4 linked regions of the Arabidopsis thaliana genome follow. The protein of the gene in region 1 interacts with the protein of each later gene in a pairwise test. Each region holds a gene or a part of one and is shown on either strand. Other genes may lie near its edges. The genes, in order: MYB65, AT4G00232, U2AF35B and GRF4.

Region 1 (8,879 bases):
GACAGAAATCAGGGTGGATATTCACTTGGAGTAAGGTGCAGCTCGTATAAACTGTTCATCATGCCGAGCCGGAGAAGTGAGTCTGCTATTAGGCTAATTACGTACTCTGAGGAGCTTGTGGATGGAAAACCGTTCTTTGCTTTTTCCAATTGTCTTCCTGTGAAGGCTTTAAACCGTGAACCTGCTGGTCATGCCTTCCATTCTGCTGCGCTTAAACTGCATGGTTGTGCAGAAGAACCCACAGACGATGAAGGTGGTGATAAGAAAGTGGGAGATGATAAAGAGAAGGAATATGTTCCTTCATTCAACTCGTATGCCAACAAAGGAAAGAAGAAGTCTGGTACCCAGCAACAAGACCACTATGCGTTGTTGGGTTTGAGCAATCTAAGATATCTTGCGACGGAAGATCAGATTAGGAAAAGTTATCGTGAAGCTGCATTGAAGCATCATCCTGATAAACTCGCTAGTCTCCTTCTGTTAGAGGAAACAGAAGAAGCCAAGGAGGCAAAAAAAGATGAGATTGAATCTCGCTTCAAAGCGATTCAAGAAGCATATGAGGTATTGATGGACCCAACTAGGAGAAGAATTTTTGACTCCACTGATGAGTTTGATGACGAGGTCCCATCGGATTGCTTGCCGCAAGACTTTTTCAAGGTGTTTGGTCCAGCGTTTAAGAGAAATGCTAGGTGGTCAGTGAATCAGCGTATTCCAGATTTGGGAGATGAAAACACACCACTTAAAGATGTTGATAAGTTCTACAACTTTTGGTACGCTTTCAAGAGTTGGAGGGAATTTCCTGATGAAGAGGAGCATGATCTTGAACAAGCAGATTCCCGTGAAGAACGTAGGTGGATGGAAAAGGAGAATGCAAAAAAAACTGTGAAGGCTAGAAAGGAGGAGCATGCTCGAATCAGGACTCTTGTTGACAATGCGTATAGAAAAGACCCGAGAATTGTGAAAAGAAAAGAGGAAGAAAAGGCTGAGAAGCAACAGAAAAAAGATGCAAAAATTCAGGCCAAGAAGAAGCAGGAAGAGGACGCTGCTATTGCTGCTGAAGAAGAGAAAAGGCGAAAAGAAGAAGAAGAAAAGCGAGCAGCAGAATCTGCACAACAACAAAAGAAAACTAAGGAAAGAGAGAAGAAGCTCTTACGCAAAGAACGAAATCGTCTTAGAACTCTCTCAGCTCCTCTCGTGGCTCAGCGTCTGCTTGACATCTCTGAGGAAGATATAGAGAATCTATGCATGTCACTTAACACCGAGCAGTTGCAGAATCTATGTGATAAAATGGGAAACAAAGAAGGACTAGAATTGGCAAAGGTGATCAAAGATGGATGCAACAGTAGTAGAAATGATGAAGCCGAATCTAAAGAAAAAGTAAGTAAGAAGACCAACGGTGGCACAGAGCCTACAACCCGAGTTTCACAGTTAGATAGTAGCACTCAGAAGAAACAACCATGGAGCAAGGAAGAGATTGATATGCTGAGAAAAGGAATGATAAAATATCCAAAGGGGACATCGCGGAGATGGGAAGTTATTTCAGAGTACATTGGTACAGGAAGATCTGTAGAGGAAATTCTGAAAGCAACTAAAACAGTTCTCCTGCAAAAACCAGATTCAGCTAAAGCATTCGATTCTTTCCTCGAGAAGAGGAAACCCTCTGCTTCAATCACATCCCCTCTCTCCACAAGAGAGGAGCTCGGAGAATCTCTACCCACAATGACGACCACAACAAATGCAAAGCCCTCTAAAGAGACTGTTGTGGGGAAAAGCTCGAGCAGTCAAAGCTCAGACAACAATGGTGAAGTAGGTGGAAGTTCAGACGCAGATAGTTGGTCGACTGTGCAAGAAAGAGCTTTGGTTCAAGCTTTAAAGACATTCCCGAAAGAGACAAGCCAAAGATGGGAGAGAGTAGCTGCAGCTGTCCCTGGTAAAACGATGAACCAATGCAAGAAGAAGTTTGCAGAGCTTAAGGAAATCATTAGAAACAAGAAAACCGGAGTATGAGGTAAAATCATTTCGGAGTCCCATGAGAATTTTGGGTTTTAATCCTCTTGGGGCACCGTTACTTTGCGAGAAGCAAGACCTAAAACTTTTTTATTATTTGTAATGATTCATTTCCCTTTGATGTCTCTATATATTGAGAGTGCTGGAGCCACTATTATGGAGTATGTTGTTTTTTACATAATCTTATGTAACGTTTGATTAGCGTCTAGTTTCAAGTTGTGAAATAAAGCGCATCGCTCATGCTGCTGTGTCTCCGGTCCCAATTAGAGGTTGGGCTACAATAAGCCCTAATTTTGATTTGCTTCTTTACAATCTAAACAAAACCAATCGAGCTAGTATGATGGAAGTAGCAGGAACAAGAAATGAGTATATATAAATGCCTTCCAAGTATAAGAAAAATCAGGTGAAGAAAATCCAAATTTTTACCAAGTCCACAAATCTTCTCTCAACTATAACAAACCACCAAGTCATGTAAGCCAGGTGCATGAAAATACAGAAAGATTCAAATTGTGTGATATGGTTCATTTTGTTACAGCGACCAAACAGGAGGCATATTGGTCCATCCATAAGACCCGACGCCTCGTGGTGCTTGACCTGATGATGACCCAACAGTCACGTAACTGTTCCCAATGTCGTCACCACCAAGAAGTGCAAGCGCATCACTCATGCTGCTTGTGTCACTAACAATGCCATAACAGCCTTGGTCAAGCCAGCTCGACGCAAGTAAAACATCAGGCCGTGTTATATCAACTCTCTTTGGTTCCCAAACCTGATCCAACTCTTCTGTCTTTACAACATTCCCTGCAAAAGCTTCATATACGAAAACCAACACAGCTGCATAAGAATCAATATGGAACAAGAGTAGATAAGATACCAATCAACAAGTAACTTTGATCAACTCACCTGATGAAAAACCACCTGCACTAAGTTGCGAGGGACTTGTAATCTCGGAGCGACCCAAATACTTTTGGGAATCTTCATATTCTCCTGATTTGATCAGGTTTTCGCTGCCACGTGGTACATTCTGAGTAACATTGGTCGTGCAAGTAGTTGAACTGAAACTCTTCTGGGGTGATGACATCAACAAACTGTGCTTCGCACTAGTTTTGATCTTGGCCTCATGAAGTAACATATCTAGTAGGCCGGTGTCGCATGAAGAGAAACAATCTGACTCCTCTACCTGCGATGGTGGTGGAGATTGAATATAGGCATCAACAGAGTCAAGGAGATCTGAGTGTGGAGGTGACGGAGTCGTCTTCCACTGATCAAATGCACTAGTTTCTGAATATTGGAATGAAGGGAGCTCCAGCTTCACTGCCCCAAACAAGGGCTTAGAAGTAGGATGCATGCCATACGTAACTGTATGGCTATCAGGAACCATCATCATATGAGACGAATGTTGGTTTTCATAAGGATGATGATCAACATCACAAGGCGAGATACTGCAAGATCTGGGATTCTTCTGTACAGCCGTATTCTGAAAGTGTTCCGGCGATTGGAATTCATGCTTTATGTTACTGCTGCACATGGGAAACCGAGATCCAGATTCCCAGATTTGCTTTGGGGAAGGCAATATTGGTGGCATGTAGCTCTCATACCGGGAAGAACTTGCGCCAGTTCCTAGCATGTTGCATGCAACCAAATCTGATAGGTCAGAAGCGGCAGGTAACAAGCTAGCAGCAAAATTTAGATCGTCAAATAAGACATTATCTTTAGAATTCCCCAACTGCAAGAAATCTTGATGTCTTCTTCTTCTATCTACTCTTATGATATTACTCTTTGTATACTCTTCGCTCCAATGAAGGTCATCAACATAGATTTCAGGAGGGTAAAGTGGTAAGCCTGCTCGTTGTCTCCTCTTGATACGAGTGTTCCAATAATTCTTTATCTCATTATCTGTTCGACCAGGTAACTGGTAAACAAGAAGAAAACATCATACCAGAGATTAATTAGTCTTTAGGCTCACAAAGAATATCAAAATATGAAAATGGACCATGATCAGGTAGCTTCCGCAGTTACAAAACTACTTACATGTTCAGCCATCTGTGCCCATTTATTTCCCATCTTGGCGTGCATTTCAACAATGAGCTGTTCTTCTTCTTGGCTAAATGCTCCTTTCTTCAAGTTTGGCCTCAGATGATTAGCCCATCTCAGACGACAGCTTTTACCACAACGGGCCAGGCTAGTGTGTTTCTGCACAGCATTCCAGTTACCCTCGCCGTGCTTCTTTACATAATCAATTAAAATCCCGTCTTCAGTTGAAGTCCATGGTCCTTTCTTCAGGACACTTCTTTTCCCTCTACTTCTGCAGCCATTGCTAATACTATCAGGAGCTGGTGATTCATTATGGATGCTGGAGTGCATACCATCATCACTATCAGCAGTCGCCGTCGTGTAACTCATCTCTTTCTACTTAAAGCAAGACAGACTCCAGCAGTTCAATAACAATTTAGACATCAAGCTCCAACCTGAACCAATTAAGAGGAAAAAGAGACAAATTAATATTTCAGCCAGCATTCATGTAGTTATCAACAAAATAATGACATGATAAACTTGTAAAAGGAGGCGATAATTGAAAAATATGTCTAGTAGATTCATCATATCTACCGCTGAGATATGAGTTGATACTAGGCAACAACTAAAAGTCTGTAATGAAATTTCTACAGAACACTAGTGACACCATTTTGACGAATAGATTTCGTATTTGAATGAAAATCCAGAAATGGAAACCAGAAACTAGCTAAGCACCATTTTATAGCTCTGATACTTTGAAATGACTTCTGTATCAAATTCGCAATCTCTAAATCTTAGTTCCAATTTCGAATACTAATAAATCGATTTTCAATGAACCAGAAATTACGATTGAACAATCAAAATCCATATATACAAGAATCAAAAAGCAGCAACTAAAGGTACAACAAAGACGAACCCTAGCTGAGGTAAAAGTAAGCTCTATATTGAGTATCTAGCAATCTGAATACAATCAGCAAACCATAGACAAATACGAAGTCGTCGAGATCTACAACATGAGACGAAATCGGAGCTCGAGTTTGAGCTGAAGATATCCGATTTGGTTATCGGAAAACACACAAATCGTAAATTTGAATCGGAAAAACGTTAGCTAAAAATATCAAGCTCAACAACTGATTAGAGAGAATGAAAACAGAGATTGAAGATCAGAGATCCGTGGAAATGGATTCAAGAGCTAGTAACGGAAGAACAATCTAGAAGAAGAAGAAGAAGAAAATATTACCAGGAGTGGGAGAGAGATAACGCGGGAAAAAGCTCGAGAGAAGATATCTCAGAGAATCGACAGAGACAAGGATGGAGAAAGAGATCAAAGTAACAGAGGAAGAAGATTCATCAGAGCTGAACAGAAGTGGAAAAAAGAGATGAATTTAGAAATAAACATCAAAATATTAAAACTCTCCTCACTTAATTAATTATTTTGCTTTTTATTTCCGCGTTATAAATAAATTATAGAATAAAAAAAACACTAAGAATCCAATATCTTTATTAGAAAATCAATTAACTCAAAAAAAATCCCGTATCTTTTTTATCAATTTTAAAATTTTATAAAATTCAAAGATTTTAGGTTTAAAAATAATAATCGTAATATTAATATTTACGAAATGTATCATTTAAAAATAATTATGGATAAAGGTTTGGTATAATCGTATACGTCTTGATAAAAAGGAACCCACCAAACATAAATTGGAATGTTGTACTTTAATTTAATGATGTATAAATGAGCTTATTGACGTAGATACGTTGAGATTACGAGAATCCGCACTCATATTAACTACTGTACTAGTGTCATTCATTCTTTGTCAACTAATAGATTATGACAGTGATTCTCTAGCTAATCAGACGATTGGCTTGAATCTGTTTCATGTCACAGCTTCTTCACTATATAATATACATAGTAAATATTTGTTGTCAGAAGTATATAATGATGAATAATTTGGTTCTTATTAAATTATAAAAAATAAAAATTGGTTCTTTTTTTTTTTTTTTTCCTTGGGCTAAAAGCCTAAAACCCAAAGATTTTTAACTCAAATTGAGGAACTGCTATAGTAGGATCCACATGTGCCCATATTGATTTCGGCATCGAAGAAAAACAAAAAATTGGGCTTTAAAAGTGGATCTTCATCATCCATGAAGGTGGTATATCAATTCATCTACCGACATTTGTATTACAAAATATTATTGAGATAGTAGTAACCAATATGTTAAAATTCAACCATAGCACTGTTTTCCATCTAGTTAACAATTAGCTAAAGCCTTTGAGGAAAGAGGAAGGTGAGCGAGCGCGTGGACCTCGTGATCCTGAATAGCTCACGTATTGTTTGTGGCCTGAATTCTGGTTATGTACATAAATAATGTTGTATGAAGATAAGTACAGGCCTGACGCAAGCCCGACAATACAAGAAAAATGATAAAAGAGAAAGATGATAAAAATGCTAATGTACCATATATATGATCCATTGCACCAAACCCACAAAGATAAAAAGGTGCTTTCGGCTTTTTGGCTTATGTTTTGAGACTCTAGAAATAAATATATTCTACTAATAAGTGTGGTAATGTATTGTTCAACATATATCTTTCAACGCTGCCGAATTTGAATTCGAATTATGTTTATTTATAGTCTTATAGAAACTATTTGATTCAATCAATTAGAATACAAATAATTGGTTTTTAAAAAGAAGTTACATAAAGTATGTGAAGAAAGGGATGGAGGGAATAATAATATAGAAATATGGAAAGCAGTGTAACTTGGTAAACGTACGAGGAACGTAAAGAGATCAGTTCCACTTCTCCGTGTCTCACGCTTGTCTCTTCCCTCTCTACCTTTTCTCTATTTCGTTTCACACCTTTTATTTCATCTTAAAACTTGCTCACTAGTAAAAGAAATTCTGACGATTTTCAGCAAACCATTACTGATGATTAGTGTTTGATCTTTAAATTCGCTGACTAAATAGTTGGAAATTTATTTGACGGTATAACTAAAAATTATCTAACCAAATCAAATATTTAAAATCCACCATATAGAGTAACGAACTTCGACAAACTTAATACATTTCGATGGATTCTTTAGCATGAGTGATCTGGTAATTTGATATCATAGTTGATGGCTTGAACACAAGATAAAACGATTTATACAGTCTTTTGTAGACTAACAAATATCTATATATGGGTACGGTTATGGCAAATGATATGGTTTGAATTGAATATGGATGACAAAATTGGCCTCTATTAGACGTTTGTACTTTGTACTAATGACCTGAGTATCTGAGATCTCAGTTAACGTATTTTTAATTTGTTAATTATATATATTTTATGCACATCATTGGAGAAAACACCAAATAGGCTCTTCTTTATCGCTTCATATATATAAAAGTCTACATCTATCTCTTTCTAGGTCACTAGCTAGACTCTAGATTAAGGATTGAAATTAGGGTTTCATGTTTCCAGCAAAATGGTGCCGTCTTGAGTCTTGAAAAGATCCAAGACAAAACCAAATCACTACATACATCCCTATCATCAACCAGCTACTGTTCGCTGTTGGAGCATCATCAAGATTCACAAATCATCAAGTATTCGTGTAAATAAACCCATTTATGATTAGATTTTTGATGTATGTATGAGAATCTTGATGATGCTGCAGCTGCAATCAGTGGCTTACACATAGAAACAGGTTTGTGTTGATTGGAAATTTCATAGTCCAATCTTTTTGTAGGAATTCACAGATCGGAGGTATTTCTTGGATATAGCTCGAGAACTTTTTGGTATGTTCATTTTCTCTCTATCTTGAATTCTTGTAGATGTTTTGAACCTCTCAAATGATCTTAGCTTTCCGAAAAAAGAATCCAAATTATTTCATATGATCCTAATTTTTTTCTGGTTCATATATAAGTAAGTATCTCTAGATCATACTGATCCATTATTTTAGGATTTTTACTTCTCTCAGCTTTCATCATAATTTTTGTTTTCTGATGACTTCAGTATATATGTTTGAGTAGATTTAACGACTATATGTTATAGTGATGCATTCTTGCTGTGTATTTTGATTCAGATCTACCAACAGATTTTTCACATTGAATTTTATTGTTTATAATTCCATCTTCCCAAAATGCCAATCTCTGACTAGGCTCCAAATGGTAAAATTAGTGGGTATTGCAAGAACTTAATTTTACAGATAATCGTTTGACAATCTGATATATTAAACTTTAACAGAACTATGATTTTGTTTAATTTGGAAGAACATTTGTGTGCCTGTTACTGAAAATGCATACGAGTAAGGTATGTCGATAATGGTTGTGGCCGTTCTTTATATCACACGGATCTCACATTTCTTTCTTTGCAACATCTTGTACACTAAAACCTGCAAAATGAGCTATAACTATAAGGTTCAGTTTACCGCATGTGAAACAGATGGAGCTAATGTATTCGAAGCTATTTTTACCACTTATTTCCATTTAGTGCTTCTGTATTCTGTAACTTAATATATTTTGCTCTGTTAGCTAGGATCCCATATAAAAAGCACGCCAATCATGTCTCCAATGTTCTCCACAGCATTTTCGCCTTATCTTTTATTTGAACTCTTCTCTTTGGCAATCAATTTCTGACATTTGTCATTTGGTAACAAAGTTATTTAAATACCTACTCCTGCAAACCGCTAAAATAGTTAACCGAAATCAAAGATCAATTCCCATTACATAAATACGCTTAGTTGATGTCAGAACTTAAAGATATATTTACCACTCGTAACCCTAAATGTTTTGAAATTAGTAGGATAACACACTCGGACTCGGGACTTTTATTTTTCAGAATACAATTTTACTCCTTACAACAAAAGATATATATATAGGTTT
Region 2 (6,624 bases), on another chromosome or scaffold:
GGAGGTGACTTCAGTGCTTACTCAAACCAACTAAGAAGAAGAAGAGGAAGCTATTGGATTGTATATGTTTATCCGTTTAATCTCGGGTTTAATGAAGATGTAATGCCTTATTTTGTTATCTATCTTAGGCTTCATCTTTCTATCTACTCTAATGAACTTTTAGGACTTTGGATTCTCGTGTGAGAATTAGCTTTGTCTAACAAGCCTTTTGGTCGATGGTTGTAATGAATTAGCTAAGTTGTCTAACTAGCCTTTTGGTCTATGGTTATAATGAACTTTTAAGACTTTGTAAATGTGCTTCTTATATGAATGTCTCTCTACTCGTAACCAGAGTTATTACAAAACAAAGAAACACACAACAGAATGTGGGAGATTGTTAGCTATCATACCAATTGAATTTTTACATGTTGTGGTTACTACTAACTACTGTCCCAATTTCATATCACTTGTTGAGCTCTTGCTCTGCTTACACTCTCCTTTAGCTCAGCAACTACATGACTCATCCTCGGTCTATTCTTAGAACTAGAAGATGCACAAGCCATTGCTACTTCAGTGATCTTCCATGCCGAACCAGCATCAAACCTCTCCCCTAGCTTTGGATCCACAATGCCTCTGATATCTCCTGTCGACAGCATTAAAGTCGACTCAGTTATGTGTATGTTCTCTGCTGTTGTTCTTGAACGTGCAATCACCGGTTGGCCTGTGACAACCTCTAAAAGAACAACCCCGAAGCTCTAAACATCACTTTTCTCGCTTAATTCTTGCGGTCAAATGGTACCTTCATTTTGTAAAACAATGTCTACAGCAGCAAAAGACCAGTGACCAAAACAAAGTAGCAAATAGACTGACCTGACAAGTAATCTCCTAAGGTTCCATTAGCCATAAACTCATAGATAAGCGCCATCTTCTTGCCTTCGTGGCAGTATCCGATAAGAGCGGTTAGGTTCTTGTGATGAACTCTCAGGAGAAGTTCGACCTGATCATACACAAGTTGGTGGATATCCCGATTACTACAGAACTCACTTAATAGAGACTAAACCTCTTAGTGTATAAGAGAGTTACCTCTGCTCTGAACTCTTCGTACCCTTGAGCCGATGATTCAGAAAGAATCTTGACAGCTACTTGGTCATCATTTAAGACACCATGATATACTTTTCCAAAACCTCCTTGTCCAAGAACTCTCTCAAAGTTGTTTGTAACTTTCACAACTTCTGAGTATTTGTAGTATCTCTTAGTTGTGTCCATTGGCCCAGTCCTGACGCCATCACCAGAACCACCTGTAAAGATCTCATAAGAATATTTCTTCCAAGTAAACTTAGAAATCAAAGAAGAAGCAATGTAGGATCGTTTCTTGATGTTTTTACCATTTCGATGTCTCTTCTTGTACTGCAAGAACAAAGCTATTGCTACTACAAGACCAAGCACTCCCGTGACAGATGCTGCTAATAGAATGATGTACACACTCTTTTTTGTCTTCTCATCCGGAATTTGACATGAAGCAGACACGCAGACATAGCACCCGATAACTTGTTTCCTTCCAAGTTTCTGCAGACATATATGTGATATGAATATAAATTCCTCAAGTTATAGTGAAGTCAGTGTCTATGTAATCTACATTTCCTGTTGAAATGTTGTTTGATAAGCCCCTGTAATGAAATTTTGGTTGCATCAGTTTCACAAATCTGTATACAAAAGAATTCCATATGAAATCGAAAAATACGAACAAAATATGTAACAATGTAAGGTTTGAGAACGCTGCATCAATCTCTCCAGTCAAGCCACTCGAGGATAAATTTCTGAAGATCAACAAACTCTTGTGAGAACAAGACATACAGATCAAAGACATATACGAGCATTTGAAGAGGATCTTACAAAGAAATGATTCTCGGAGACTCATTATCGACATAGCTGCAGTTAATATCCTTCCAAGGGTATTTTACTGGAGCACAAGGGTCCCCAAGCCAGCTCTTCTTCACTCCATACTTGGACAGGAATGGAGTTTTGAAGATAAAGATCAAAGTCGAGTGCTTTCGCTAAATTACCGTAGTTAGCGTACATGAAAACGGGTTCTGATCAAGAAGAAGATAAAATGAAGGTTTCTTGTGGTATTTCCTCACTACCTATATCATACTGTAATTCATTAAGAAGAAGTTGAAGGTTACTTGTTGCTCAAGAAAACTCAAGAATCTGTAACACTTGCATTAAACTTGTAGCGAGGAATGTCAAATATAGCAGAGAGATATAGAAGCACAAAACAAAGAATTCTATATATAACAAGAAGTAGTCATTCTCTCTCAAATCATAATAAGCTAATATCTCACATTGTTGAGTTCTAGGTTACTCACCAACTGTCAAGATAGATTGAACAGCTACACCACATGCTTCAGCAGAAGCCATCAAACCGATAGCGAAAAGACCAACAGATGATACTTTGTCTAAAGTCAATACCTTGTCCCTATCAAGCCCACCAAAACTCTTAGCCGACAACATTCGGGTAATCACATTGGTCTTCCACCGATACAGGAACCACACAACTGAGAGAATAACCGCTCCCTTCACAGTCGGGGAAAAGTATTGAGCTGCTATAGTTGTTGGCGCCACCATTGCAGCACTGCAGCATATCACATTCATCAAGTCTATCTATTTTCTACAACATACATGTCAAAGGAATAAAGCTAGAGAGACTCACATTTGTGCAAAAGCAATGAAGGTCACCAAGTAACGAGCAGGATCCTCTAAAGCTCCCCAAAAGCTTTTCTCATAAGGAATGTCTTCATTAGAGAAGCCAACGGGAAGCAGTTTAGCGGAACTTTGCATAGCATAAGTGTGAAACCTTCTAAGAATCCTAGGCATCACTATCCAAGCAAATAAAGTACCAGTCACAGTGAGACTAACAGGAACTATAACATCTTTGAGATACGGGTTAGAGTCAAGGAACTGCTGAACATGAGGAATCATCTCATCAGAGACATCTTTAGTCTTCTTTGCAGTCTCAGCAACAGCATTGACACTAGTCTGCACCACATCTTTAGCTTTCTCAACCCAATCATTCCCATTCCCATCACCAGACCCAGTAACACCAGATGCTACAATACTTCCGAAATCATCAGATTTGGAGCTGAAAGCTCGTGCGTACGACGAATGGCTTAAGTAATTGAAAGGCTTAGCATCACTATGCAGGCGTATATTCGATGAAAAGGAGATCATCGAAGGAGAAGCTTTTGGTCCATCAAGAAGGTTTCCGCAAGTAAAGGCCCTGGCATGAGAGTTTACTAAAACGTTAGGTTAAACGTACTAATGATATATAGTAACTATAGCCGAACCCTAAAAACAGCCGAAACCTAAAAACGAACTCTTTTTCTCCCTAAAAACGAACTCTTTTTCTCTCAGAGAACCGTCTGATAATGGACAAAGCCAATACCAACCGGTCCAAGGTTTGTGGTGGTTCCGGTGAAGCTAAGCTAACTGGGAAGAAGCGGAAGAACGTGAGTGCCAAACAATCAAAGAAAGATGCAAAAAAGGAGAATTCTCAAATGTTAAAGTGGAGTTCGAAAGATGAGGTCCTTGTGCTACAAGGTATGTTGGATTTCAAATCTGTAACAGGTAAGAATCCTGTTGATGATATAAACGGAGCATACGAATTCGTCGTCCATGAATACATAAGCACTGTTATTGACGAAGACTTCATAGAGAAGATGAAGAGTTTGAAGAAGAAATTAAAGAAAAAACAGAGGATTTACGATAAAGATCCGTCTTCTTCGGAACCTCTATACCAGAAAAGTTCCGAGTGGTTGAAAATGATTTGGGGTTATGATGTGGAATCTGCCCTTGAGAAACCAAGGAAGAGTAAGCGGATTATAAAGCTTTGAAGCATCATCATCCAGTTAGATGCTAAATTAACGTCTCATTTCAGTTTGTTCTTGCAACTTTGGTTATCTTTTGTTCTATCTATGTTTCTGGTTTATCTTATGATACCTCTATGTTAAGATAATGGTTTTATCTTTTATTAAATGGAATCTGTTTCTATTCCAGAACATGTGTTTGCCATTCTGAATCAGACATGTTTGGTACTGCAACATCAAACAAACTAGTTAGATCTCTCAATGTTGACTGAAAAATTACGCAAATCAGACTATCAAACAATTCCTGAATACACACAACAATGCTCAATGCCAACGACTCTGGTTTTTTCTGGAGTTATATTGAACCATATGTTAACAGGGAGCAATAAGATTCTTATCACAGAGTATTTTCCGGAACTTTTGGTTTCATTTGTATAATCAATCAATCAATCAGTCCTGGTTTGATCATCAACTTTCATGTACAAGTCTGCAAGCCGTGGTAAAGTAAGTTTTTGCTGACATCTCGAGAAAACCTTCAACATGATTCTGCTCAAACAAACATAACAATCTAAAAACAGAGAAAAGACTGCATATCGGTAAATTGTGACTGCAGTGAACCTTGTTAGAAACTGAATCTCCTTCTAGAAACAGAACACCAGAGAAAGAGAATCAGACTTTGTATCACAATTGGTTTGATCGTCAACAGAACAATATAGAGAAGAACTTGCCTTTCTATTATAGAGAAAGTGAAACACAACAACTGCTTAGAAGGTTTACAACAAGGAACTTAAATACAAACCAACAGACATGAAAGGCTTCACAAAAGTTGAGCTGAACTAATTGATCATGCACTGCAAACCACATCAAACGAGAGCCATTTTCTGCTTAACATATTGAATTGATCATTTCATGTATATAGGAATTGTTAGAACCCTATAAATACCAAGAAGGAAACAAATAAAAGCAAGGCCAATATGAAACATTTTTCTCTTGAAACCTAAGAAGTCATCACGATTTTCTGTAATTTCCCAAAAACACAGAGTTTTGGATCCATCTAGCTAGATAGCTTCCGGATCAGTATTCCTTGTCTCTACAAAATGATCACTCACAATGTAGAATTGTCCCAGGTGGTACCTAGCGACACACCGTGCTTCTTTATGATCTTCACCGCCTCAAGAAGGACCTCTTGTTGTGTATTGTATAGCTCCTCTTTTCCCTGAGACAAATGAAGCTTCAGGTGTCATTGACAAGCTTTGGCCTGGCTGTTTTAGGATCAATTTCAACCCTGAGACCAATTTCACGGAGTTGAGGCACATCCACAGAGCCTTTAATCTCCAACTCAGCCACTACTTCCTGGTTTTCAGGGTTCCCTTCCAGTAAATTTCTTATACACCACAAGCCCCATTCTCTCAAGAACGGGTTCTCATCATCGGTCACACACTGCTGCAGCATTAAAAAGAGCCCATCTCTCTCCCTGATCTCATCTTGTACCTCTTTTCTTCTGTACGCGCAGTTCCCAATCACCGACACAATATCTCTCCTGAATCCTCTGTAAGGACACGGCTTTAATGAAGAAGAAGAAGAACTAGGACTCTGGTTTAAAGCCTTCTTTATTGTTGTTGGAGGATCAAGTTTACTAAGCAGATCAAGGAGAAGTTCTATTAGTCCAGAGGACAAGAGCAATTCAACAGTATCACCTGAATCCTTGTTGTCCTCCTTGAGTTCTTCAAGACGTCCTCCAGCACAAGCATCCCTTATTATCACCAGAGAGTAGCCCATCACATCTACTATAGTTGAACCCGTTGGAAGCTCCGATCTTTCACCCGAAACAAAATCAAAAACATCAACTGATTGCCTAAACAATCCGAGAATCGAACAAGCTGTATCCTTGGGGATTGACACTTTTCCTATCCGCTCATTAGCAATATCAGACACCATCCTCACAAGAAAGGCTTGCTCTGATGAAAATATCTCATTTTCAGCATCTTCGTATAATTTAGAGAAGAGCTTGAGGAAGTAACCATCTTCAACACAGATTCTCGAAACCAGTAACTTGAGCCAATAATCCTCCACAGACCCAACTACAAACAATTATAACAAGATTGGCTCAAATCAGATAAAAATCACGACTTTAAGATCAAAATGGCATTTTTGGCTTCAGGAATAAGAGTGTTACCGGAAGAGGAAGTCCGTAGAGTTTCAGCGATGATGGTGAGCCCTTGACAGCTACAAAGCTCTGAAGCAATCTCTGAGCTTCCATCAACGCAAGTATACAAAATCATACACAGAGGATCAAATGTTTCACGTTTCCTAATCTTAGCGATTGATAAGAACCTCTCCGGGTAAAATCGGAGCCACACATCTCTCTGACGTTTCTCTCCGAACAATACAACGTTCGCTAGAACCTGTAATCCGAACCTAACTGTCTCGAAATCCGCAATGGCGGAATCAAGCAAGTCGGAGACGATAGCAGAGCCGTCATGATCGACGAAAGAGTTCTGATTCGAAACCTCACCTGCGCAGAGGTTTCGAAGGACCTTCAGAGAGAGATTCAGATAATGGCGGGAAGATGGGTAAGGAAGAAGCTGAAGAAGACGGAGGATCGACGGAAGTATAGACTTGGAAGCGAGATCGGAACGACCTGAATCGGTCTTGGAAGACTCTAGAAGAAATTTCAAGCAATCTTCTAGAGAGTATGATAAATCTGAAGCATGTAGAAGCGGCTGAAGCACCTCTTCCGGTAGAGAAGCTTCCATTGACGACGAAGGAGAGAAGCTTGCTT
Region 3 (8,778 bases), on another chromosome or scaffold:
GTTGGTGGAATTATTTTTTTCTTATGGTCTTGGTCTTGGTCAATGAATTTGTCGAATGAATGACATGATCTTATCCGACTGGCAAATTTCTACTACACCTTTCTTGTAAGTACTAATAACGTATTGGAAGGTTGGTTCGAGATCCAAATTTGATTAGGATTGAAACACTGGGATTTGACTATGAATGGAATAGTAAAATGATTGAATAGACGGAACACAATAGCTGAATACGTTTCCACAAATAATCACACATATATACTCAGAGATTAAACTTAGTAAATTTCTGATTTTTTTACGATTTTATTTTAATACAATTTTTTTTAATATTCGTCGTTTACCACTTTCGAGAAATAAACATTTGATCATGTCTAAAAGGTAAAAATATAAAATACTTTCACATTTCAACACGTTAAAACATGCCAAAGTAATATATTTCTCTATTATAATCGGCATTAGTATTACTGTATTAGGTATCAAAAATTTAAATCAAATGAACAACTAGGATGATGTCAAAATTTGAACTAAACATAAGCAACGTAGATGCTCAATAGTTAGGATATAATATGTTTTTCCGAATCTGGTTGGTGTAGTGAGATCAGAATTTGTAGCTTTGAAAAAGTTGAAAAAGGATAAATTATTCATGTGCTCTTTGAATGTCTCTCAGCACTTCGAATTTGGAGATTTCCAAATTCTTTGAACTTGAATTAGTTTCCTACACGATCAATTTGTAAAATAAAATAGATTTTCTCTTTTAGCAAAGTCAAAATCAAAACTTTTCGGATAATTTGATTTACGGGAAAAATATTGAAAAAATCGCTAATTTTTAAATTTGGGACGAAAAAAACATGAACTTTCGAAATGTTATTTAAATCATATTTTTTTTATTCTTTGATAAAATGGTCAAGTTTTATTGACTGGGCCAATTCGGACATGCCGTGAAATTTTCGTAAACAGAGTTAACGTTCCGTTAGAATTTTCTGTTAAACCCTACAATTTTCCTCAACGTGGGTAACATTTGAGCAAAAGACTATTTAGGAGGAGCAAAAGCTACAAAATCTATTAACAAACGCGTATGCGTAGCTAACTTTGTGTCGGGATCAGTAAGACGACGACCACCACGCACCTTTCGTTTCGCTTGGATTAGCAAAATGTCTAATGAGACATATAGAGATTCCACTTTTGAGCAAGGCAACTTCACGAACGCAACAAACTCCCCTTTCGCTATTCTAGTCTTACAAACCATCACATCTATTACTCCCTTGTAAAAAGAGCTCATATATTTTGACCCACGATAAATTTCTTAAAAAAAAGGATGGAATTCACTGAAATAATTATTTTTAAGATATCTTAGTTCACACGATATAAAATTAATTTAAACTAAACTCACTTACATCTTTAGCAAGTGTTGTATACTCTGGGCGGAACAAGTGCAGTTTTGCGGCCACATGTATAATTTTTAGGAATACCAATGCCTGAAGAAAAAGTCAGACGTTTCACAACTCCTACCACGTCAAAATGTCTAACATTATTAGGTGCTTCGTAGCCAGGTTCGACATTCTACACAATCAAGTGAAGCCACGGCTTAGGACATTATAGTAGAGGAGCATATTTTTATAAAAAAGTTTTAAGACTTTTATGTTATAAAAAAAATCAATTATAAGCATTTTTCTATATATTTATATTTGTTAAACTTTTCATTTACTATCTTTTTTTCATCTTTTTAAATTAATAAAATGTCTTATTAATGAATTTAGTTTAGTAAAATTTTAGATTTAAGAAAAATAAAACCTTAAACTCTAAAATTTTGATTACAAAAAAAAAGTCAAAGACTTTCTAATGTAAGGTGCTTGAACTTTGATTACAAAATAAAAACTTTGTTTTTATTAATCAAATAAATGAGTTGGCTTTGCTATCCATTAAGACAATTATGTTTGAAAAACTCGATTACGTGAATTTGATGAATGGTTTTGGAGGTAAAAATCTAAATAGAGGTATATTTAAAAAATATAATTTTGTTTTTTTTTCCTATTTTTTTGCTTACAAAATGCTTATAAAGTTCAAAAAAAAAAATCTATAAAGTTTTAGTATAACTTTTATATACTATTAATTTTTTGATTATGCAAAAAACAAATAAAGGGCATAAATGTTTTATATCTGTAGGGCATTCCTACAAATATTAAAAGTTTTAGTATAACTTTTAATATATATATATTATTGTTTTTCAAATTAATTCTTACTAGTCAAAGTTAATGGGATTGTTAGAAATTATTCACGTAAACAAACAAATATATATTTATATATATATGTATATATACTATTATTATTCAAATTAATTCTTACTAGTCAAAGTTAATGGGATTGTTAGAAATTATTCATGTAAACAAAGAAATATATAAAATTTTCTTCTATTTAAAAAAGCAAAAAAATTGACTCTTGAATTTTGGTATAGTACTGGTTTAGCTAAGGATGTACTAAAATTTATTATTGAAGTTGATCGATGAAGATGACAACACCGTACTATATATATACACATACTAAGAGGGAGAAAATAAAACACTTAGTTAAGTATACATCGAGGAAAATGACTTTCAAAATTAAGAAGAATGGTTTAATGGTGCAATTGCGTATTAGTTCTCATATGATTTAATTTTTAAATATCTATTTTCACTTTTCGTATAAATTTTACTTATTCTAATAATATCTCTTAAATTTATAAGATCTTGTGTGACCGTTTTTTGGTATGTGTCACTAGTTACATTATTGAATTTAAGGGTTCGATAAAAACTTATGGAATGATCGGGTAAATATATTTAACCACGGATACTTATTTGATTTTACATCTAGGTTTTTTAATGTTAAAAGTAGATTGATCACCTAAATTTAAGTCTAGGGATATGTACGAAACAAAAATGTTTAACAACATACTCGTAAGAACCTTAAATGAGCAATACTTTCTTTACCAATGAAAGCTGCTGTTAGAGGGCATCCTGAACATGTGGAGGTTAAAATTAATGACTCTCTAACTATTTTGTTCAAACAGAATTTCATAGATTTTCCATTTTTTATTTTACTCATTTTGTAAATAACCTCATTTTACCATTGATCAAATAAATTTAACATTTCATATAAAAAAAAACCTCATTTGAAAATTGTATTTAAGTATTCAATTATTTGGAGATTGTATTCAAGTATTTAATTTGACAAATATAATTTGGTTAAATATTTCAAGTATTCTAAAAACATTCAGATATTTCAGTTATTTCAGATAGTTTGGTTATTTTGAGTGTAAACATAACTAATATCTTTAAATTATAAATTATAAATTTGGCTATCTTGATTATTTGAAATATAATTAAGAATAACATTTTAGATATATAATTGTATTTCAGATAAGTCTGACATTCACTAGATTTTTAATTTATTTTTAATTTTATTCCCATATTTTTTTTTTTTCTTCTCATAAGTGTATTATATTAACCACCAAAAGAGGAAACAAAGCATTAAAGCTTACAACGATATGTGCAGAAAGAAAAGTTAGGCCCAACATAGCCCATAAGATTAACATCTACGGCATAAAGATGTTTTGACATTTGGACTCTATCCAATACACGTGTCCACGTGATATTACAACTGCAACACAAGATGAAGAGTCATCGGAAGTGTACCGACATCAACCTTCGCCGCCGATGAACACCGAATCCGGTGAGGAATGCATCGCCGAAACATCGCACAATGAATCCTTGTAACCACCGAAATAAAACTGAACGGTGCTCCATTTAAAAGACACAGCAAAAAGGAATCATAATAAGCATCGGAATATTCTTCAATCTTTCAACCCGAAGACATAATCGCTTGATAGATTTCTGCAAATCGAAGTTTCTAAAGACACAAGACAGAAATTAATCTTAAGTAACTAGCACCTAAAACTAATTACCATCTCAAATCTGTTGAGATTTATTGAAAAACAAAACTAAAATATCAAAGCAATCAGCATAAAACTGATTGACTACGAGCAAGGATACAAGCGGCCAAAACCTCTTATGAAAGCAGGATTTGCCGTACGGGAACCGGTCATCTCCACTAAAAGAGCTAGAAGATACCGGGCAAAAGCCCAAATTATTTGGAACGGCTATCATCGGAAAATTCTTGTAGGTGGAGACAAAAAGCTTTCCCTCTCTGAAGGTTTTGTGAGAGAGAAGAGAGAGAGAAGCTTTAGCTCTTTTTATTCCCATATTTTTTTAAAAAAATCATTCAGATATTAATTATCTAGTTCTGTTCGTTTCCTTCCAATCCAGTTCAGTTTAGTTTGGTTTATTCGGTTCTGAGCCGGAGCAACAAAAGGATCAATCTTAAAATCCTCGTTATGTTATGACGATTTTGACGAGGACCAATATTGTAACTTTCTATAGTTTATTTTATTATTCCTCCTTGTAGAATAGTTTATTTGCAAAATAAACCCATATTAATATCTCTTTCTCTTTTTTTCACCACACTCTCTCTCTCTCTCCGGCTCACACGAGTCGCTAATCAAATAAACCTAAACCCTAGATCGTGATCGGCAACGGCACCTCCTCGTCGGCGATAGCTTCTCTTCCACTAAAAGAAAATCCTCTTCGGTATTCTTCTTCCTCTAATCAATCTCTCTCTCCGTTTCGGATTCTCATCTCCACTCGATGACTAGAAACGTCTCGATCTGTTTTAGATTTGACAACGATTCATGATTCTGATTCGTTCATTGATTTGATTCTCTTTGATTTTGTGTTAACTCTCGTTTATAAGCTTAGATTTGGTTCTCGTCTCTGATTCTGAATCGTTCTTGTAGTGATTTGATTTATCATATAAGCGTAGAAGAACAATTTGTGTTTAGTTGAATTTGATTTTTGTTATGTTTAGGTGAGAATGGCAGAGCATTTAGCTTCAATCTTTGGTACTGAAAAGGATAGAGTGAATTGTCCGTTTTACTTTAAGATTGGTGCTTGTCGTCACGGTGACCGGTGCTCACGGCTTCATAACCGTCCCACCATCTCGCCGACGCTTCTCCTCTCGAACATGTACCAGAGACCTGACATGATAACTCCAGGTGTGGATCCTCAGGGACAGCCGTTAGACCCGAGTAAGATCCAAGACCACTTTGAGGATTTCTACGAAGATATTTTCGAAGAACTCAACAAGTTTGGTGAAGTGGAGAGTCTCAATGTTTGTGACAATCTTGCTGATCATATGATTGGGAATGTGTATGTTCTGTTTAAGGAGGAGGATCACGCAGCTGCTGCGTTGCAGGCTTTGCAGGGGAGATTTTATTCCGGTCGTCCTATCATTGCTGATTTCTCTCCTGTGACGGATTTTAGGGAAGCTACTTGTAGGCAGTATGAAGAAAACAGCTGTAACCGTGGTGGGTACTGTAATTTCATGCATGTGAAGCAGATTTCGAGGGAGCTTAGGAGGAAATTGTTTGGGAGGTATCGTCGTTCATACCGTCGGGGAAGCAGAAGTCGAAGCAGGAGTATAAGCCCTCGACGTAAGAGAGAGCATTCGCGAGAGCGAGAGAGAGGGGACGTTAGGGACCGTGACCGGCATGGAAATGGGAAAAGGAGCAGTGATAGATCAGAGAGGCATGATCGGGATGGTGGTGGAAGGAGGAGACATGGAAGCCCGAAACGGAGCAGAAGCCCACGAAATGTGAGAGAAGGAAGCGAGGAAAGGAGGGCGAGAATTGAGCAATGGAACCGAGAACGTGATGAGGGAGTTTAAGGGTATCGTTTGGGCTGATTACTTCATAAAAATCGGTAAAATCTTGTAATGGATATTCATTTGGTGTTCTTTTTTTGAACTTGAAAAATGAGTGGCATGAACTCCTTAGATGATGTAAGGTGTTTACTGTATTTTGTAGAATTTTTGTTTAGAAACTAGTTCGTGAGGCAAATGATGGGTTCAGTTTTTCTAAGTTAATGTGGTAATGATCCCTTGGTTATTGTTCTTTATGATTGTCCCTTGCAATGTCTTCTTATAAGGTTTAAACACTTTGTATTGTTCGGGGAAAGAGATAAATGTTGTACGATTTTTTTGGGTGGATTGAATGAAGAAACCGAACCCAACCCAAATATTAACCCAAATATTATAAATACCCGAATGGGTGCTATGAGCCTAAACCCAAAAAACCCGAAGCGTATCGGAGCGTGTATTCGAATGCCAAGCCCTAGTCAGTTTTATTATTGTTAGTGTCCACTTTTCATGTTTAATGGATTTTGTTCTCGATAACTCAAAAAGTTATTATTTACAAGTGTGGTATCAGAGCATGGTTCATGATGCTACGGGAAACCATTTTCAATGTTTTATTAAGTAAATGTGTCGCAAAAGATGTTAGGAATTGGTTCAATCACTTGCTAAAACTTAAGTAGATGGGATTATATGACTTATCCTTTTTGTTGTGTTGTAGTATGCCGCCAAAGAGATCTCATGGTTGTGATTCAGTGGGAGAGGAGGGACGGTCCATGGGTCTGCCACCCCAAAGATACTATCTTTTGTGAGAGAGTGGGGAGACAGTATATCGGAAAACCGCTGACAAAATTTTCCATAGAAGGAGCAACAACAGTGGCTAAGCTCCACCATCTTTGTATGTACAAGCAATTCTGGCAAAACTTGACAGAGAGCATTCTGGAACAGTAAAATATCTCCAGGCAACGGCTCCATGCCGAGAGAAGACCAGGGAGAGAAAGAGATATAGAGTGAAGGAGATATAGTTCCAACAAATTTTAAGTTTAAGAAATGAACATTCATCTTTTAGGGCTTTCTTTATTATGTTCTACAACAACAGTAACCAAAAAAAAGAGAGCTAGTGGTATTGAGACGATACATGACTTAGCTGTGGGAAGGTTTTGAGTTGCCGATTTGTTCTGCCGTGTTTTCGGCTTTCTGCTTCCGATTGTAAAAGCTAATTATCTTCTTATCCAATTTGTAGTATGACTCCATTCTCTTAAGTGGTTTCAGGCTTAGATCAATGAAATGTACCTACAGTTACATAAATCAAATATCAAACAAATATAACAAAATGAAGAAACCGATTATATGGTTCCTGAGAACTCAACGTTTTCTAAGGAAATTTCTGTTCTTATAATGATTCGCGGATCCCACATTTTATTTTTAGAGAATTGTACCAATGATCTCAGCAAATATTATTAATAGTTCTTTCACCATATAAGACAAGAATGTGTTAAAATGGATCATACCTTGTAATCAAACGTTTGATTGGTCGGTTTTAGAGAGACGTAATCACCCGAGGGTTCTGAATCCCAAGCATTCCTTGATTGAAAACTGATCATAATACTACAGTCTTTGGCAGTTGCAGCTATCAAATACTCCTTCACAATCTTCAAGCTTTCATCTAAAGGTAAAGCATGTAGAGACAATTCCGCCTCCAGTGGCTTACCTTCTTTACATATAGGACAAGGCTGGTTGATTAAATCGTAATACGAATGAATCGCTCCTTCAATGTCTAATTTGTCTAGCTTCTGAATTTCAAGAAGTCTATCAAGAACTCCTGAGCCATAGACAGCGTCAGATACTAGTTGTAGAAAGCACTCTGTCCTATGACCGTCTTCTGATTGAATGAAGCCTTTGAGAGCATCCTCAAAGGCATACCCGATTTCGGGGCTGGTTCTCCCGGTGCTTTCACCTGAACCCCCTAATATGAGAGAACCATTCAAGAATACGCGGAAATTGTTTTGAGGAGTGGAATATAAAGCTTTTATAGCTTCCAAAACACTCTCTTTTGATCCAGAGAAGAGATCAAGAGGATCGTACTCGCTTTCTTCAGATATCTGTAGAATGGTGACATACTTATTAGACATTTCAGCAAATCACAATCTATAGACCATTAAGATTTTATACTAACAATGACTTGCTTTTACCTCGTTATATTCCAACTTTAAGAGTTGATGCATTTTGAAACGGCTTACGCTTGTTTTGAGCATGTTTTCTTTACCTATGAACCTTGAGGTTGGAAGAAATCCGCATTTGGGCTACTTCATGGAATTAAGGACAGTGAGTTTAGGTCAAGCATGATAAAGAGAAAACTAAAACAACCCAGAGGATTTATCAAACCTTTATTTCAACACTAATGCAATCACCACCGCTAGAAATACCTGACACAGATAACACCATATAGTTACGACTAATTTTTATGATCATGAAAAAAGTCCGATTTCTTATAATAATAGGTTACCTTGAGAAAAAAGTGAATGATCATTCAATATAAGGGCAGAATCATGACTCGTATCAACATTTGCTGCATTAACACGCCATAGCGGACGCTGCTTAGTTACTTTCTTATCAACACACTCAAGAAACTCCTTGGACACAGAAACACGTACCTACAATACTCTAATCATCAGCTTACCAAGAAGCCATAAGTATCTAAATAAAACCAACAAAGACCATTTGATAATATTACTTACTCCAGCATCAACATGTTTAGGACCCAAGAGTGGGATGATCACATTCTTAACATATCTTTGTTCAAGAACTTCCTTGTTTGGTGATGAAATCAGCTCATTGTTTTCTCTCCATAGATGTTGCTCATCGCTTGTTAAAACCGAAACAACACCATTCGCATTCTTGATTGCTTTATCATTCCTCCGAGCCTTCTGTATACGAATCACTTTCCCAACCTAATCAAAGTTCAGAGATAATGTAAAAGATTGGTCAAACTTAAACAAACCAAATCCAATTCTGTACAAAACATTTTACTGTTGAACATTGTGTTAACTCTTTAGACACTAA
Region 4 (8,668 bases), about 16 Mb from region 1:
TCCATGTTAATGGAGGTATTTAGTCTAAACCACTTAAAAGCTTTGTAAAATTTCTACTGAAGATCCAATGTGTGATTTGTGACGATGATTTTCTTTTGGCAGCTACTGGCTGAAAGTGAAAGATTAAGGATAAAGAAACTGGAGGAAATCAACAAGACTGTTGGAACCTTGCAATGAGGAGAAGCAATCTACATGGATCTTACCTTAAAAGAGAGTGAAAATTTGTTTAAGTTTTTGGTATTACACTCTATCCAGGTCCTCCTATTAAAAGTGAGCTACGATGTAACAGGATGTACGATAAATGAATGGTGCTAAGGTTTAAAGATATGAATGCAGCGAAAAACGAATTTCTTAAAAGATGCAAGATGTCTTTGTACACATAGATAATGTCAAAACAAATCAAGCATCATTATATTCATATATCCGAAACTAGCGGCTTCCCTATTTTGTCATTACCCGTTTCCTTTTACTCTGCTGGCTCAGTGTTTACATACCTGTTCGCGTAATCTAAATACTCCTGCAAGTAACAAACAATCAAACATAAAAATTATCAAGAAGGAAATACAAGAACAGATTCCATTGGTCTTTAAATGAATATTAGTAACCTTACCTGAAGTATAACTACTGCGGCTAACTTGTCCAACATTGTCTTCTCTTGAACAGGATGCAAATTCAAGGGCTTCAACATCAGTTCAACGGTCTGTTGACAGTATTACATGAGATTCAAGGGATATTAAACTTAACACCTATCTTTACTGTGACTTACAAGATCTTTAAATCTGAAAAATATATACCTTTGATGATAATCGCTCGTCCCAATATGTGTATTTCACATCCTTGAGTTTTTCGGTCTTACGAAGTTCCTCAATGAAAAGATTCACAGTGACAACCTGTTCCAAGTTTAAAAATCCTTTTCGGTTATATGAGCTAATGTAGAGGAAAAGTACTTCACAATTCAGTCGAAACAAAAAAAAAAACTTACATCCTCTACATTGTTCAGTTTGCCAAATGGATAACCAACGACTAATCCCGACACAGAAAATGCTTTGACCTGCATAAGACAACAAAAGGCAAATGATTGATGTAATCAAACAGAGTTCATAAGTCTACTTGTTGATAGATCTCTACTACGTCAAGGACTTAACAGTAAACACTAACTGAATAAACCTTGATCCTTTAATCACCAGTAAGGCAGTAATCACAAAAAGCCGAGGGTGAAAGTAGACACTAATCTACTACACTAACAAACTTTCTTCTTCATTACCAAAACAAACGATAGTTTCTTCATTCCTTATCTTAGTAAACACTAATCTACACTAGCAACCTTTTTTCTTTGTTTTAAAAAACACTAAGAAATGATAGTTTCTCCATTTCTTAACAAGAACTAAAATCTGTGTATTTGTTTAAGGTCTCCTTTAAATCTAGAGCTAAAAAGTAAAGGAACGATCAAACTTATAGCACCTACCAGGTTCTGGAAATCTGTAGCCATCAGGTCAATGTTTGATTTCTTTCTGAGCAAAACACTGCAAGAGAAGTAACAGGTTTTCAATAGCGATGATGGTGACAAAATTGATCAGAGAGGATTTGCATTTTTGAAAATTACTGTTAAACAAATGTTGTAGCATGTAGACACTGAATCAAAGGTACCTCAATGGAGAAGCAACCATATTTGAAGGATCTGAGATAGCTAATCCAACATACTTATCACCAACATCTAAACCCAGAAACCGACCAGGGACTGACACTTTGGTCTTCAGCGCATTACCCAATAAGCTCAATGGCTTCACATACTTCATTTCCTGATCAAAAGTAAGTGAATCAAACTTCCAAAACACTTGTTCAAATCAAGACTAAAAATTCACATATCAATTGCATAAATTTGAGAATTATTGTACAAAAAAAACTTTAATCAGACCATCAAACAAACATTTCGAAAAAGGGTTTTAGAAATTAATCAGAAAGTTTAAATCTTGACGTACTTTAAAGGCGGAAACTTTCTGGCTCCGGAGCACGGAATCTGGCGAGAGGAAACGACAAATGGTTCTGCTAAATGTCTTCGCGATTGAAGCAAGCAAGCACAAACCCCAAGATTGTGAATTAGAGATGGACCGGAAAAGGTTTATTCCGGTTAAGTTCGAGACTTCACCGTCTAATCAATCTATACGATGCCGGTGATTATCAGGGTTTTGGTTTTACATTATACCGGGAACCGGTTAATTCGAGGTGGTTTAACTGGTTTCCCAAAATTGATTCGGTTTAGCTTAAGTGAAAAGCTCAAGTAACCACCTCTCCTGTACTTACTTGCAGGCAGAGGATCATATTAGTTTCATTGCTTATACAAAATTGTCAAGCTTTAAACATAAATATAATAGCAGAGTAAGGAACAAAACAATTCCAAAAGCAGAACTCACAATTCCAAAAGAAGACAAATTCAAAGATTATTTTCTGCAGAAAATAAAGATTCAAAGAGCACAAACCAAAAAGATTACAAACACTTTTCTTTAATGAAAAACTTGAGTAGAGATTCCCATCTGATGAAGAACACTTGACGTCGAAGAAGCTGACCTCAAAGCCTCAGCTAATGGTCCTCCCATATTGTTGTGGTGATTCCCTCCATTGCTCCACCAATTCATTTGCTCCCTCTCATTGTTGTTATTTCTCATGTTCTCTTCTTCTTCTTCATTGCCTGTGGAAAGTTTTAGAGAAACATCTGAGGACGTGTTGTTACCGGGCATGGAGATTGAAAGATGACAAGTGGATGAGCTCATTGGACTGGAGGTAGAGTCTGATGATCGTGGCCAATCGTCAAAGAAATGCCTCAAGATGTGACCATCGTCTGATCTTCCATTGCTGAATCCACTGTTAGCTTCATATGGCCTCTTGTTGTTGTTGCTTTCTTGTTTCATCTCTGAAGAACAACTGTGACAGAGAGGAATAAACATAAACATAAACATTGTCAACAAAAAGATCCAACATTTGAACAATAATAAGTAGACTGATCAATTCAACAAAATGGTTAGAGAAATAATTTAATCAGTCAAATGTGTGTGTTAATAAGAGGAAGTGGTTGCAGAATCTGAGAGCTTTATTTTGTTTGGCTTCTATGCAGGTTTGGTCAGCTTTCACTGAGGTCCTACCATGTCATTATTTCAAATACAACATAAGTATACATATCTCTTTAACTTTCTCTCTCTTTTCTATTTCTATGATTGAAAAGTCTCACCCAACTAGTAAATAAAATTAGATTCTATCAAATCCAACTGTTATCATTATCTCTCAACAAAAGAAAGAATAATGTTTTTATCACAAAGTATGTATGATAAGTCTCTCTTGTCACCCTATTGCCAACATTACCCCTTTCTTCACAGCATTACTTCACAGTGAAATCACTATTTCCCTAACAACAATATTTGTAATTAACCAAATCTACTAATGACTTTAATTAAACAGAGTGTTTGTGTTTTTTTATTGTACCTTTGTTGATGACTAAGGTGGAGAGGTTGAGATGAACCAGAGGAGAAGAAGTGGTTGTTGTTTGGTCCATGACCAAGCTCCTCACCTAAGACAAAAGAAGATGCGGTTGTTGTGGCTGTCGTTGTGATGGTGGTTGTGGCGGTTTCCACAGGCTTTCTTGAACGGTTTCTTCCACGGTGAATGTGGCGGTCACAATACTTGTGGCCCGCTACAACATCCCTTGAACATCTCCATTTCTTGCCGTCAGTTCTCTTACACCTCCCTGGCTCAGGATCCATTGCTCCTCTTCCCCAATACCCTGTTTTTTATTAAGTGTGTGTTGTTCATTAGTAACAACAAACATAAATCTCACTCAAGACATTGGTTACGAAATGTACTTGTCTGATTCTATCTATGTTGCTAATAGATCTTCTAGAAATAGGCTTATCATACACATAGGGTTTTAACTCCTTGCAAGGTTGCAGAGCAGCCTTATACTTATTTTAGATCTTGGAAATATAACTCCAACACCAAAACAAAGGGAATCTTTTTTACAAAGAAAGACTATTTCAAGGATAAGAGAAGCATAAACAATAGAGAGGAGAGAGAGACTGACAAGAAGGTTGGTGATGAGGAAAACTATGTTGAAGAGGATGGTGAAGGAAATGCATAGGAGATTGATGGAGGAGACTTTTCTTAATAGGTAAGAGAAGCTCTTGAGGAACAGAAGCACCAGCCAACATGTATCTATAGATCAGTGCTTGTAGCTCAAGTTCTTGCCACTGTGCCCAGCTGAAGAAGTTTCCCATCTCTACATATATATGTAACATAGAAACGTCAGATTAAATATCAGCAAAAACAACTTCAACATTAGAGTGAATAAGTCTTGTCCTTTTAAAACAACTTACTGAGGAACCTGGAAGAAGAAGAAGAATTAGAAGAGTCAGGAGAGAAGCAAGAGAAAGAAGAGGAAGAAGTGGGTTCAGGGACAAAGAGAGGAAGAGGAGCCGCAGCAGCAGAAGTAGCAGTTTGGGACTGAATCTGATCAAAGAAAAAGTTTGATATCTTAGTTGCAGCAGAGCCTTGTTCTTCTGACTCATTCTGCTGCTGACTTCTCCATTGTTTCAGTTGCAAGTCCATGGAACAAAGAGAGAGTGAGTGAGAGAGAGAGAAAGAGAGACAGACAGAGAAATGTGTTGGTTGCTTTTGGGATAGTTTTTTTACCCTCACTTCTTTTGTTTTTAGAGAGTCTGGCTTAATAAGCAAAGACAACCACAACAAAAGTCTTATTTGTTTGGCTTGTCATGTAAATACCCAAAATAAAAAACTTTTTCTTCTTCACTCTTTTGTTAGAGAGAGCTAGAGAAAAGTGTTTAGACTATGAGACAAGACAGTTGATAGGATAAACAAAATTAGTATATAATATTTGATTGATAGGTTTAATAAATTGTTACTTTATGTGATATAAAAATTATGTAAGTCAGAAAACAAAGAGAGAAAGCACTGCAAGATGCAGATGGAGAGATAGTAACCTGCAGTGTTTATGTCTCACTGCCTTGGAAATATCACTTCCTTTTTTTACCTCATTTTAATATTCCTTAAGTAGGTTAAAGAGATGCCTATTATGATATTGTTATTATGTTTTTTTATTAAGGATTCATTTAATGTGATGTAGAGTAACCTTCAATTTTTGTCTTACAGATGTCATTTGTCTCAGAGATTGTGTTACAAATGTATGAGATTCTAACTTCTAAGCATGATTAATCATTTGGGTTTTGACTAAATAGTCTCCATTTGCAGAGAGCTACAATACAATCTCAGCTCTATTTACTCTCTTTGGTTAGTAAGTTTTCCAAATACTTTACCATTTTAGTGGTTTAACCATATTTGTCTTTTAATTTGTAACCGTCATTACTTTTCTCATCTGTTACAATATTATTGTTACTCATAAAATATTATGTAACGTCTGTGTTTGTTTGATTTATTAAAAAAAAATTATAACTTCCTTATATAAATGTAGAAATGGACATTTATCTTTGTGTTATCTTAAAAAGACATGGCTAGCTAGTAGTATATGTACATATCTAAACACATCGAAAGGAGGGAATCATATTATTACCAGAAAAGGCCAAGTAAACTTGGAAACATTTGTTAAAATGAAGTTAGAAACATTTATTTGATATCTTCACTTGGCTGAATAATACAAAAGACATTTATGATTTTCAAAGTATCTTTATTTGGTGGTGCCAAAACAAAAAACGATAGCATTATTTTGTAGTTTTGAGGAAATAAAGTAATAAATATGAGAAGGACGATAACGATATTTCATGTAGGAGTGAGCCACAACCAAAGACTATGATGACTATTGAGAGAGTTTCTTGAGTTTTCTTTTCATTCATTCCCACCAGTTTCGGCGGCATTTATATTTGCACTAAGAAAAATATAAGAAAAACTCAATTCCTTAAGTACAGTTCAATGTTATGTACACTTCATTTGCTGTAAATCTTGTGAACCAAATAAAAAAGAAGAGGAATATCATAACATAACACCCAAAATAAACTTTGTTTTCAAAATATACCATAGGTTCTTTTTGACTTTGTAAAATTTTCCTTTTTGAAAAACAAAAATCTTTGTAACAAGTATAAAGCGGCAACTGAATTTAATAAACATTTTACGTTTTTTTTTTTAGAATAGAAAAAATATTTCGCAAATGGCCTAAACAAAATATTAGCCTCTAAAATAGAAATATTTTTTGTTGATACTTGATAGTATAATGGATCTTGTGCACTAATGATGGGTCTTAACTAATAAAGTAATAATGGATCCTGTGCACTAATATTTTGGGCCAGAACTTGTCATATACCAAAGATAATGATATCGAAGGAAAACAAACTGAAAGCAAAGTGTGAACGTAATGACATATTGTATGTCTTTTTTCAATCATGAACACGAACAAAGATTACATGCAGATGCAGTAATACTAATGGTAACAAAACAACCAAACAAATGTTGATTATCTAGACTAACTTTATATATATCTTGTTTAAACTTTAACCTACATGGTTATTAGGTTATACATGGTAAATGCATTAGTTTAAATTACCATACTACATACATTTTTATATGTTGCTCATGTTCCAATTGTTTCGTAAAACCAAATAAAATGACAGAAAATATATAGTATTATTCAGTGGACAAGGGTTGGGTCACGTGCTAAGATTAAGACCAGATGAGATCAGAAGAGGGCCCGGCCCAAACTCTCCACCTACTCACATAGATTTGAAAATCACGGGAGCTGATCCGAACCGAGCCGAGCTGGAGTAAAGATGGAGCCGGACAACGAAATCATAATCTGAGGAGGCTCTCTCTTTAGTTTCCGACGAGGGCACAGACTGTGGGTCTCACTATGTAATGTGAGATACCAAATATATTCTTTTCACTTTTTGACCAAAAGTTACCGTCTGTTTACGCACTATGCCATTTACGTTCACTTACGATGGGCCGTAAATAAAAAGCCTAGTCACGCTAGCACGCGAGGCCTCACGTGCCTTAATTATTTTCTTAATGGGCTTCGTATATTCCTTTAGGAATGATTCTTATGGGCTTCTTAAACTCTACGTTTAGCAGTACACCAACAAAAACCGAAATAAGCAAACCTCTTAGCAGACCTCTAATTTCTTAATGTGCTTATTATATTCAATTTGGAATGATTCTTGTGGCCTTCTTTAACTCTATGTTTAACACCAACAAAAATGTTGTAAGACTTGATGTATAATTTGACCAATATTTTAGTTTCAACATTATTTTGATTCTCCTAGTCAGTTGATATTCGATTATAAGCAGAGAAGACACATGATCTAAAGTCTAAACCAAAAAAAGTCAAGTTAATTAGAAGATGATAATAAAACCTTCATTTTGACCCACTCTTTATTGTAAACATGCTACAATATATGTTATTGAAACCATTAGTCATATCGATTGACAAAATACAACATATGCAATACTATACAAGAAATAACATAAATGTGACGGCAAACGTAGAATAAATTAATTTGAAGAACATGAGAGTCGTTACCATTCCTCGAGGATCTGCTTTTAGGCCCACTGTTGGATTGACCCTACCATGAGATATCTCGACGATTCTCAATCCAAGCCGTACATTTGTATGAGTGTTACGACGAATTTATGTTTGGTCCCCTATCGCCACCGGTTCTTCTCTGTAGCACTAACGATCAATCATCATGCCTTTTGTTTTAGGTAATCATCTATATGCTTTTATTTGGAAATCATTTTTGTTATGTTATTCTATTTTAATTCAGTACTCAATATGAAAATTTCCAATCTGTAAAGTTGTTTTTTATTGACCTCGCTCACAATATATCCATGAATACTTTGTATTGAGAATTCATTTTGTCATATGAATATGGATATACTCACTGCAACTCTATCTGTAACAATGTGAAAACAGGTGTAAATAAAGGAATTTCCATAGTTAGAATAGATTGAGATAGTATATTTTAGCGGCCTATAATGATTTCATAAGCTTTTTGTTCTCTTAAATGTCTTTTATTTTTGTTTGCATCTTTGAAGCTGTCTCGGGAGTAAGTAGAAAGATAATAAATGCTGCTCATATATATGATTGGGCAGCTATGGTTGGCATTTTGCCTTTTGAAATTCAGTAAAGTGAAAACAAACTCGTTAACCATCTCACGTATATGCTTTTCTAAATTTGTTATATATATTCGATCAGATTTTAAATTGCATGCATATGATCGCATTATTGTATTGATAGTCTATCATCATATGCTTTTTGTAATCTATATATACATTTTTGCAATTATTTTCTGAAATAAATCTTCAAGTTGGAACTTATTTACAAGGAATATCATTAACATTAATTATCATCAATTAATTAATATTTTTAATTATTAGCATTTCCTTATCTAATATATCTCCATCAATTCTAATTACTTTTAAAAAAAAAATTAGAACTTTATTAATATTATATTTTATTAAAGATAAATATTATAGTTATTTAAAGTTTAGAAAATATTTAGAATATTTTAACGAAAAAACGTTTAGAATATATATTATATATGAAATCTATAAAATTAAATAACTATTAGGGACAATGTCCCACATCGGAAGTTGAGTAGGATCTTAAGTGGTATATATAAGATATGGGCCTCTCCTCCTATTGCCAATTGGTTTTAGG

What was found.
Region 2: the proteins of MYB65 (region 1) and AT4G00232 interact in a two-hybrid assay, tested with the Arabidopsis thaliana proteins (one large-scale study listed by BioGRID).
Region 3: the proteins of MYB65 (region 1) and U2AF35B interact in a two-hybrid assay, tested with the Arabidopsis thaliana proteins (one large-scale study listed by BioGRID).
Region 4: the proteins of MYB65 (region 1) and GRF4 interact in a two-hybrid assay, tested with the Arabidopsis thaliana proteins (one large-scale study listed by BioGRID).

The regions. Positions count from the first base shown.
Region 1 is NC_003074.8:3,598,584-3,607,462, reverse strand, and holds MYB65 (myb domain protein 65), read right to left. Parts: upstream 5,428-8,879; 5' UTR 5,258-5,427; intron 5,115-5,257; exon of another isoform or gene 4,934-5,114; intron 4,580-4,933; exon of another isoform or gene 4,473-4,579; 5' UTR 4,408-4,472; coding exon 4,036-4,407; intron 3,917-4,035; coding exon 2,908-3,916; coding exon of another isoform or gene 2,882-2,907; exon of another isoform or gene 2,815-2,881; coding exon 2,534-2,814; 3' UTR 2,291-2,533; downstream 1-2,290. Other genes in the region: AT3G11450 (DnaJ and Myb-like DNA-binding domain-containing protein), read left to right, coding at 61-2,004. UniProt on the Arabidopsis thaliana protein: Transcriptional activator of alpha-amylase expression that binds to 5'-CAACTGTC-3' motif in target gene promoter. In vegetative tissues, inhibits growth by reducing cell proliferation. Promotes the expression of aleurone-related genes (e.g.
Region 2 is NC_003075.7:97,502-104,125, reverse strand, and holds AT4G00232 (DNA-binding storekeeper protein-related transcriptional regulator), read left to right. Parts: upstream 1-3,281; 5' UTR 3,282-3,404; coding exon 3,405-3,869; downstream 3,870-6,624. Other genes in the region: AT4G00238 (DNA-binding storekeeper protein-related transcriptional regulator), read left to right, coding at 1-34; AT4G00234 (mechanosensitive ion channel-like protein), read right to left, coding at 2,338-2,611, 2,690-3,207; MEE50 (ARM repeat superfamily protein), read right to left, coding at 5,076-5,923, 6,019-6,598.
Region 3 is NC_003076.8:17,167,418-17,176,195, reverse strand, and holds U2AF35B (Zinc finger C-x8-C-x5-C-x3-H type family protein), read left to right. Parts: upstream 1-3,408; 5' UTR 3,409-3,938; coding exon of another isoform or gene 3,939-4,232; 5' UTR 4,233-4,616; intron 4,617-4,893; 5' UTR 4,894-4,899; coding exon 4,900-5,751; 3' UTR 5,752-6,105; downstream 6,106-8,778. Other genes in the region: AT5G42825 (uncharacterized protein), read right to left, coding at 3,939-4,232; IPK1 (inositol-pentakisphosphate 2-kinase 1), read right to left, coding at 6,859-7,008, 7,227-7,817, 7,908-8,018, 8,101-8,141, 8,222-8,369, 8,454-8,666. UniProt on the Arabidopsis thaliana protein: Necessary for the splicing of pre-mRNA. Probably active at the 3' splice sites.
Region 4 is NC_003074.8:19,613,676-19,622,343, forward strand, and holds GRF4 (growth-regulating factor 4), read right to left. Parts: upstream 4,833-8,668; 5' UTR 4,594-4,832; coding exon 4,362-4,593; intron 4,265-4,361; coding exon 4,070-4,264; intron 3,773-4,069; coding exon 3,475-3,772; intron 2,920-3,474; coding exon 2,502-2,919; 3' UTR 2,302-2,501; downstream 1-2,301. Other genes in the region: AT3G52900 (RAB6-interacting golgin (DUF662)), read left to right, coding at 1-15, 103-177; AT3G52905 (Polynucleotidyl transferase, ribonuclease H-like superfamily protein), read right to left, coding at 467-517, 611-700, 795-890, 983-1,051, 1,466-1,523, 1,648-1,796. UniProt on the Arabidopsis thaliana protein: Transcription activator that plays a role in the regulation of cell expansion in leaf and cotyledons tissues.